2 linked regions of the Yarrowia lipolytica genome follow. The protein of the gene in region 1 interacts with the protein of each later gene in a biochemical or structural test. Links are inferred from orthologs where the notes say so. Each region holds a gene or a part of one and is shown on either strand. Other genes may lie near its edges.

What was found. The genes of interacting proteins can lie anywhere in the genome.
Region 2: of the proteins of YALI1_F13339g (region 1) and YALI1_D03888g, one has a biochemical effect on the other in vitro, tested with the Saccharomyces cerevisiae proteins (2 studies listed by BioGRID). The link is inferred for Yarrowia lipolytica from reciprocal best matches to the Saccharomyces cerevisiae genes PKC1 and SPO7.

Annotation. Positions count from the first base shown.
Region 1 is NC_090775.1:1,329,949-1,335,984, forward strand, and holds YALI1_F13339g (uncharacterized protein), read right to left. Parts: upstream 4,325-6,036; coding exon 4,108-4,324; intron 4,049-4,107; coding exon 507-4,048; downstream 1-506. Other genes in the region: YALI1_F13355g (uncharacterized protein), read right to left, coding at 5,178-5,645, 5,783-5,959. UniProt on the Saccharomyces cerevisiae protein: Required for cell growth and for the G2->M transition of the cell division cycle. Mediates a protein kinase cascade; it activates BCK1 which itself activates MKK1/MKK2.
Region 2 is NC_090773.1:386,996-389,992, forward strand, and holds YALI1_D03888g (uncharacterized protein), read left to right. Parts: upstream 1-1,812; coding exon 1,813-2,490; downstream 2,491-2,997. Other genes in the region: YALI1_D03865g (uncharacterized protein), read right to left, coding at 1-176, 1,315-1,318. UniProt on the Saccharomyces cerevisiae protein: Regulatory component of the NEM1-SPO7 complex which acts as a phosphatase and dephosphorylates the phosphatidic acid phosphohydrolase PAH1. Essential for the formation of a spherical nucleus and meiotic division.

The DNA.
Region 1 (6,036 bases):
AGCAAAAACTGAAGTACACGATTTCAGCGACAATACCAGGCATTTTTGGGGGAGACCGAGTTGGTTGGTCTGCTCCACACCTCCCAATATAAGGCAACATTTGAGTTGCACCACACATTCGTGCACCTGCATATAGATGCATTATGGATGCAGTCTTACTTAAACCTCGGAACAATGTGGGAATATACTGGAGGAACCACAACAAGGGTGCCAGTAGTTATATATCGCCCAGAAAACAGTTTCTTTATACATATATTCACAAATTTAATGTTTCAATTAAAGTTTATAGCATGTACAAGTCCTTTTATTGCACAGGAGAAACCCCCATAAACACCTATCATTAGCCAATTTATCTTCCATACCAGGATCACAAATGTCGTAAGCGATACCAAGGAAAAAAACAATTTCTCCTGAGAGCAACCAACCCAATACAAGTACGAATACTTTCATCATACAAACGTATTACACGTCATCTAATAAAACATCATAAATCATGTTAACCTATTTCAAATAGCTTCATCACACATCCAAGTGAAGTTTCTGAATTGATCCTGCATGGCGGAGGTCAGGGTGGTGGTGACGGGAGTCAGAGCCGGGGTCTCGGAAGTGAACTCCTGGTCAAAGTTAGTCACGTCTGTGGGCGACGTGATCTTGGGCACAAACGGCGGGGGGATTCGCTTGTGATAAATATCATCAAAGTTGACGTTGGCAAAGTACGGGTGCGCCATAATCTCCTCAGCGTCTCGAGGACCCGATCCCAGACGTCGTTCGGGCTCTCGCGTCAGCAGCTGCGTCAGAATAGACACACAATTACCGGGCAGAGTGATGGGGTATCGGGGCTCATCGGCCAGAATGGCGTCGAAGATTTCGTCCTCGTCTTCTCCTCGGAAGGGACTCTGTCCGAGTACCATCTGGTAGATGAGCACGCCAAAGGCCCACCAGTCGACAGCGAGGCCATATCGCTGCTCCAGCAGAATCTCCGGAGCCATAAACTCAGGAGTACCGCAGAAGGTACCTGTGGTTCGGCCATAGTCCATGTCTTCCTTACAGAGACCGTAATCGGCAATCTTGACATGTCCGTCTCGGGTGAGCAGAATGTTGTCAAGCTTGAGATCTCGGTAAATGACTCCATTGTCGTGGAAGTGCTTGATTCCAAGCAGCACTTCTGCGGCGTAGAACTGGGCCCGGCCGGGCTTGAACACACCCTCCTTCTGAATGTGCCACATGAGATCTCCTCCCGACACGTAGTCCATGACAAAGTAGACTCGGTTTTCCGTCTGGAAACATGAGTACAGATTGAGCAGGAACGGGTGCGACTCTCGGTTGGCGATCTGGAACACCCGTCGCTCGGATCTTGTGCTCTCCACCTCGTCGTTCTCAATGATAAAGTCCTTCTTGAGCACCTTGATGGCGTACAGGTTGGTCGTCTTCTTGGACTCCGCCAACATGACCTTTCCAAAGTTACCCTTTCCGAGCACCGCCAGGAAGTTGAAATCGTCCAGCCCGATTCGCGGCCGCTTCTTCTTGCCCACAACGGAATGTCGGTTGCTAGCAGGAGCGGGAGAAGCCGGGGAAGCGCCGGCTGCCTGGGTCTGGGACGCAGTGGCAGCAACAGCGGCAGCAGCCGCAGCCTGGGCTTGCTGTGCCTGCTGGGCGGCCTGTCGTTGCTGCACCTGCTGTTGCTGCGCCTGTTGCTGCTGGTACTGTTGCTGCTGATACTGTTGCTGTTGGTACTGCTGTTCACGCATCTGCTGTTCACGCTGTTGCTGTGCTCGGAGCGCCTGCTGCTCCTTGTGCTGCTGCTCTCGAGCTCGCGCATCTTCCTCGTCCCGCTGCTGCTGCTCAGCATGCACGCCAGGCACAGGCAGCGACTGGTAGCCTGAGTCAAGGGAGCCTGATGCACTGTGCTTCTTGTGCTGCTCGTCAATGATCATGCTCTTGGGAGGCGAGTAGCTGACGGAGGCGTCTGAGGCTTCAGGCTCGTTGTTGATGATACTCTTGTCAAACGCGTCCTCATCCTCCATCTTCACATCGTCCTCAACAGGAGACAGCACCTGCGACGGGCTGGGTGTGGATTCTCTGTTGGGGTAGATATCGCCCACAGAAGAGTTTCGAGGCGGATACAGGGGCTGCTCCTCTCTGTCGCGCGAGGGAGACGACTGAAACTGCTGCTGCTGAGGTGACCGAGAAGGCGACTTGGGCGAAGCAGAAGTCGGTAGCACATAACCCTGCGACTCTCGACGGGCCCTTGGGTCCAGAGTCGATGCTGTGGGGTCGTACCGTTGCTGGTGGTACGCCTGTCCTCGATCGGGGACAGCAGAAGGAGGGCCAGGGGCAGGCACTCCAGGAGGAGGAATGCCAACGAGAGAGGCTGCACTCGACGACACAGAGCCTTCCTTGGGAGGCAGAGAGGGAGCAGAACCCACCTCCTTGCGCCGCACCGTGTTCTTTCGCTCGCCCCGCATGGTCGCAGTACTATTAATGCTACTGTTAGTATCGACGGGGGTCAATGACAGACGATCGGAGCTGTTGCCGGCGCCATAGCCATTCCCATCTCTGTCTCCTGCATTGACATGCATGTGCGACGGAGTGGCACTGTACAGCGTCGACTGCTGGGACGACGAGGTCGACGTAGTGGGGTGCTGGGACGCCCGTCGGATCTTTGTCGACTTGATCTCACTGAGAATCTGATTTGCCCGCTCCATGGACATACCGCAAAAGTCGGGCACAAGGTGCTCACACTGCACGTGTGCAGTGACTCCACACTCGCCACATTTGCGCACAGACTTACGGCCCAGGGGCAAAATGTAACCGCAATGGCAGCACCAGTTGGCAGACTTATTGGTGAAGACCTGGAAACGGTGAGGAATTCGGTGGTTAAGCTTCTCCTCGTCGGGATCCGTTTCGGTGGACGACTTGGAGATGCACTTGGTGACCACCTTGGAGTAGCACTTGCCGTGGCACGTGAGCCGACAATCCTGACACTGAAAACCCGCTCCACTCAAAAAGTCACCACAGAGGGCGCACCGCATGATCGAGTAGAACTGCTGCGCCACAAACTTGTGGCCGTGGATCTCGTGCACGTCCTCCTTCTTTCGAATGGCGTTCTGACGGCCCAGACCCAGTCCTCCCAGCTCGTGGGGCCGCTTGACGCCCCGATTGGTTTTCTCGAAGCCCAGAGTTAGGTAGATCTGGCCTGCGGGCTCCACTACAAACCACTCCTCGATGGTGGGGCCTGCGTAGTTGACCACAGAAGATACTGGCCGGTCAATCTGGGGCGCCTCAAGGGTAGGCAGACCCGAACCGGTGGCACCAGAGGCAGCGGCACCTCCCCGCGAAGCAGGGTCGGCATGACCGCCAGCAGCTGTTTCGGAGGCCGCGACCCAACCTGTTGCAGCGAGCTTCTGGCCGTTCTTTCGCCGTCGAATCTCCTCTGCCACGTCGCTGATTGTGAGCCACAGGAGACCCACGGGCTTGAAGTGGTCGCCGTCTCGGTCGTAGATGATGATCTCGACCTCGTTGGCCTTGTCCACGGGGAACTGGAAGGTATCGTTCCACCGCTCGGTTCGGGACAGCTTGGTTCGGCCCACCAGCTTGTCCTCGCACTTAACAGTGACCATGGTTTCGGGCCGCTTGCCACGCACCGACGCAATGTGTTCCACGTTTCGGAGGGCGTGGACGGTGATGGTGACGATTCCCGACAGAGGACGTCTAATGTTGGGGGCGTTGATGCTGTCGCTGTCAATGGCGTCGTCAATATCAATGTGCATGTCCTGGTAGCGCTTGAGCGACTTCTTTAGCAGGCCCATCTTCTGCAACGACTCCTTGCGCATGTTTTCAATCTCCTGGATCTTCTTGGGGTCCCGCTGGTAGAGCCGTAGCGCGTTCTCAAAGCCCTCCTTGTAGTTTTTCTCCACGCTCATCTTGAACTCCAGTTGCTGCAGCATATGCTGGATCCGGGGGCCGAAGAAGGGCGTGTCGTACTTGATGAGATCGAGCTTGGTGAAGTTTGCTCGTTTTTGTGTGGGGTGTGGGCCGGGGGCCATGGCTGGGTTAGTGGGGGTGCTACGGAGAGCGTGTCTTTGCCAGTTTGCGTCGGATACTCACCTTCGGGGCGGGTTCTCAGCTTGAGCTCCCGCATCTTGCTCTCCAGGTAGTTGACATTCTTCTGGTTGTCCGTGAGCTTGGACTGGCACTGCAGTTTGAACGCCGAGTCTTGGGACGCCTGGGCGGCGGCCTTGGTGCCGCGGATGATGTTTTTCTCCACCTCAATCTGCTTGTACAGCTTCTGGATGGCCGACTCGATGTCGTCGGGGGCAGACATGGCGGTCTCTCGGGCGTGTGAGGTCGACTTTTTGTATGGGGTGCGGTGGAGGTGTGTGTGAGCTGTGCTTATTTGTAGACTTGTAGCTCGCAAATTCCCCTGGCTGGTTTAGGGGTGGTGGTGGGAGTAGGGGAGTGTGTCTGGCGGGGTTTTGCGGTGCTGGCGGGGGGCGAATGGACGAAGCTGGAGCAAAGGGCGTGAGGACAGCAAAATACCGGTTCTAGCGACCGCTCAAGGACAACAGTGGTTCTCGTCTTGGTTGGAAACAAAAACACGGCCGGCTCTTTTGAGTTGGGTCCTTGCTGACACCAAAACACAAAATTCACGTGAGTTAGTTTTCAGCTGTCTACTGCTGCAAGTCCCGGTAGTCCCACCCACAAATACACACACCACCGCACACTCTCGCACAAGACGCACGTTAAAAACAAAACCTTGTGCGCTGTCAGGATGGCCCAAAAACTTATAAATAGTAACACGCAAGCTGGAGGGCTGTGCACCACAACCAACAGGGCAAAGCGCAAGCACGTCTGCTGGAGGGAGGTGGAGGGGAGGAGAAGGCGCGGCGGGTCATGTGGAGGAGAGCGCGGACGCCTTATCCATCCCGTCAACCCGCCGCCGAGCCGCCAAACCGCCGAGCCGCCAAACCGCCAAACCGCCAAAGTCGCCCGTCACGTGTCTTGTTGTGTGTCGTTTCACACCTCCTTTCTCCCCAAACCGTCTTTCATGTTGCGTATTTATCAGATACCTAAAATGGAGAGTGCTACGATATATCCCATATTGTGTACCTACACGGTAGGTACTACAGGTAGTGCCAACGTGTAGACGAAGGTGGCTGCTGCTGAGCTGAGCTCCGTCACGTGATTGCCTGTCGGCGCGGACATATATCCCGTACTCGCTTCGTCTCTTGGTCTCTCCGCCTCTCAGTCTCTCGACTCGTGCACTCGTGCTGATCATGCACACTGCTCACTTTGCTATTATTAATGTGTGGTGCCTGTGCTTGTACGTGCTGAGTGCAACAAGCTCCCCGCCAAAAAAACACCGGCATCATCCCAACCCGCGCCAAACCGCAACAAGGAACACAACCACAAGTGGCCGGATCAGTTGAGGGCAGTACAGCACGGGTCCATGTATCGTGACAACGCGCTGACCGAAGGGAAAGTTGGTTTGTGTCCAGCGGCTGCTCCACATCACGTGCAGCCCATGACGTAAGAGGCGCATGTCTCTTTAGCCGCTCGTACAGGCCCCTGCTCGGTTCTCCCAAACGCACAGGTGACCATGTGGGCACAATTTTCCGAGCGCTGATGACGTCGTTGTGCGTGAGCTGCGAGAGGGCAGCAGGAGATATCAACAGCAGAAGATATCAACAGCAGGAGATATCAATAGCAGGAGATATCAATAGCAGGAGAGGGAATGAGCGGCAGAAGGGGATGAAGGGAAAGTGCAGTACGAGTACAATACAATACTATTGTTGATGTTGATGTGCTCTTGGGTGCTAGACGTATTCACGTCGCTATGGTCTGACAATTGATGGTAAAGTACCGACCCTTGATGGTACAGTATTGTACGAGTACTAGTACAGTACAGAACTGACAATTGATGGTGCCGTATCCACTGTACAGTACCGTACCTTGTCATACTTGCTTATGCTACACCTACGGTACAGCTTCTGATGTAGAACACAACTGTGTGAATATCCATACTGTAGAGAAGGG
Region 2 (2,997 bases), on another chromosome or scaffold:
ATCGGCGTTGAACTTCTGTCGGGCCGCCATACGCTCCGTCTTGGCATCCTTGGGCAAATCGCCATAGTAGGACGCCAGAGAATGGACGTGGGTGGGGATTCCGGCCGTTTGTGCTCGCTCCAGTCCATAAGCGGTCGGAGACGACGAAATGACGAGCGAGATGCGGGGGCCGATTTCTGCGTCGTCAATGAGTGCCTGGAGATTGGTTCCCGACCCGGAAATCAGCACAATGATGTCTTTGGTCATGTTGTGTGGGGGTGTAATGGAGTGACGATAATTTTTTTTGCCGTGACCTCTTTTTTTGGTAAGTAAAAAATAAGGTTCATTGTGATGGAAATTAAACTTTGGCCGATAATGTAGTACAATGGAGGACAGGGAGGCATTATACGGACCGAATTTGTATGGCGCGGGGCGGTTCTTGTGAAGGAACCTGTGTTGGTCACGTGATTGGATATATCCCCTTTTTTCGGCTCATTCGGAGCTTTCTATCAGGCTCAGAAACGGATCACTTCTTTCTGCACAATTTACACGGGGTGCAGGATAGTGTAGATAATGTAGAAGAACAGGAGCGCATTTTTCGGTGTTTGAGAGGAGCAGAAGAGATGAGAAGAGTTGCTATTGGGTATTAGCCGGCTGGTGAATACATTTTTTGTCTGTAATTTTTCATTTGGACCGCCGCTTAGCGAGATCCGGACTTATCCAGAACGTGATTGGTTGGTGGGGTGTGAAAAGTTAATTTTGGCTGTGGAAAATGAACATGACGAGATATTGGGGGTTTTTGGAAGTGAAAAAAGTCCAACAAGAGATTGAGCAGAATAAATACGGTGTTTTTTATCTCCTGAAAGTTTCAGAAATCCAATACGACCTAAATAGACGCTTCTAGAGTGAATCTATTCTGATGCAGGGAAGATGGCCACTAGGAGGAACATAGTGGATGAAGTAATCTTCATATTGAGATATATTTTGGTCTGATGAGTCTTTGGCACAGTTTATTTGTTCAGCCAAAAATTCACCCAATTCCACCGGCCAGATTCCAAGTTAGATACTTCATCTCTACGACCCGAGTAACTGTATGCATGATCATAGAGGTAGTAATAGTGGGGTGAAAAATGGACTTAGAGAGATTAGGAAGTGATATAAGAGATTTATTGATCCATTTAGAAGTCGATTATCAAATCCAAAATTCCATATTAGCTCAACAACAGTCTCAAATCTGTGGAATCATGCGTATTTTGTCCCTCGCATTATAGATGGTCGATCGATTGCTGAGCATTTGAAGACATTTATAACTCAAGTGAGACATAATTTGGACACTCATTGACAGAAATCACACTTTTGCCACTTGTCTCATCCCCATATACAATTTCACATCTACGTATCTCTCCCCCTTAGCCACTCTACAACACCGCGACTTAATACCCCATCAAACTCGCCCAAAAATGACCATGTTTATGTTTCAAACATACCATTCGATTCCCCACACCTCCCTGACTCCAATTATACTACTATTATCCCCCAAATCCCTCGCCCTCAGGATTTAATTTCCCCCCAGACCCCTTTTCTCTTCGATTACTAATCAGCGTTGTGAAACCTTAATTTGGGCACTCCACCGTAGACTGTGAATTTTCGTTCCTAGCTCACCACCACCCTGCGATACACGTTAGTGGAGCAGCAAACAACGCCAGCGGGTTCATAACGTCAGCGCTAATCCTGTTAATCACGTGACCTGAAGAGGGAAATAGACTCTTGCCGCCGCCAAATTCTTCCCCGCCAAACTCTCTGCGCCCAAGTCCCGACGTCACTCTCATTACCATGGAAAGCAGCCCCGACTTCCTTCCAGAATCGGATGGAGACACAGAAGTGGAACTGCTGCCCAACCTCAAGCTTGCGGGCGTCACGGAGCCACGCCGACGCGAAAAACCCGTGTTGAAACCGCCCAAAACCGCAGATGCAGAGAACATTCCGTTACCTCCTTCTCCTCCCCCGTTATCGTCTCCTTCGGAGATTTATTCGAATCTGCTAATCCTGGAGGAGTCTCTGAGACAGCAGTATCTCAACCAGCGGCAATCGCAGCGTAAGTACTCGACATTTTACTTTGTTTTGCTGAGTTTGACGGCGTATTTGGTCTACTCTCAGATCTACCCTTCCATTTATTCCTACGTCTTCTTTTTCCATCGCTTCTGTCTGATTGCGGTTCTGTCAACTCTGGGACTGTTTCATCTCTCTGGAATGTACACCAAGAAACTGGTTTACCCAAGGAAGTTCATATACAACTCAAATCGAGGTCTCCGCGGGTTCAATGTCAAGTTGGTGAAAACGGGAGGCTACTTTTCGTCCACCGTTCATTTGGTGCTGAATACAAGGGTGTTTAGCACCGAGAACATCGAGCAATGGGAAGAATACAGATTGGGGTACTTTGAGAGAGAGAGAAAGAAGAAGATCAAGGAAAAGAAGGAAAGGAAGGAAAGGAAGGAGCCTGTCCGCAGTTGAAAGAGAGAGGAAGGAACCTGTAGGCAGTACAGCGCGATAAGGCTCTGGAATCATTCCGGCATGGTATGAAGTACAGCCCGAACGAATTACTGCCCAACGAATGACTGCCCAACGAATGACAACCCAAACATAATGTTCTCATCTGTCTCTGGCGACACTTCTGACATCCAGTACACGGTTGTTTGCAGTTCGTGATTAGAACTGCTCTCTCAGAACAAACCCCGAAAGATCTCTACTGGACTCTGAATAGGACTGTCCCAGAGAACTACTAAAAGGAAGTATATTTATTTTAATGCATGTGGTGGATAATAGGTGTATGGTGGTGTTTATGGGATATGTACCATACCATATAGCCACAGTAACTCGATCAATTTTGACCGGATCAAAAAAAAATCAACGGAAATTTAACCAGCGAGGAAAATGAAGGAAAACTCATCTTGCAAGTACAAAATATGTTAGTGTCTTGTCTCTCAGACACAGGAATCGTCTGACCTGGGGGCATTCACC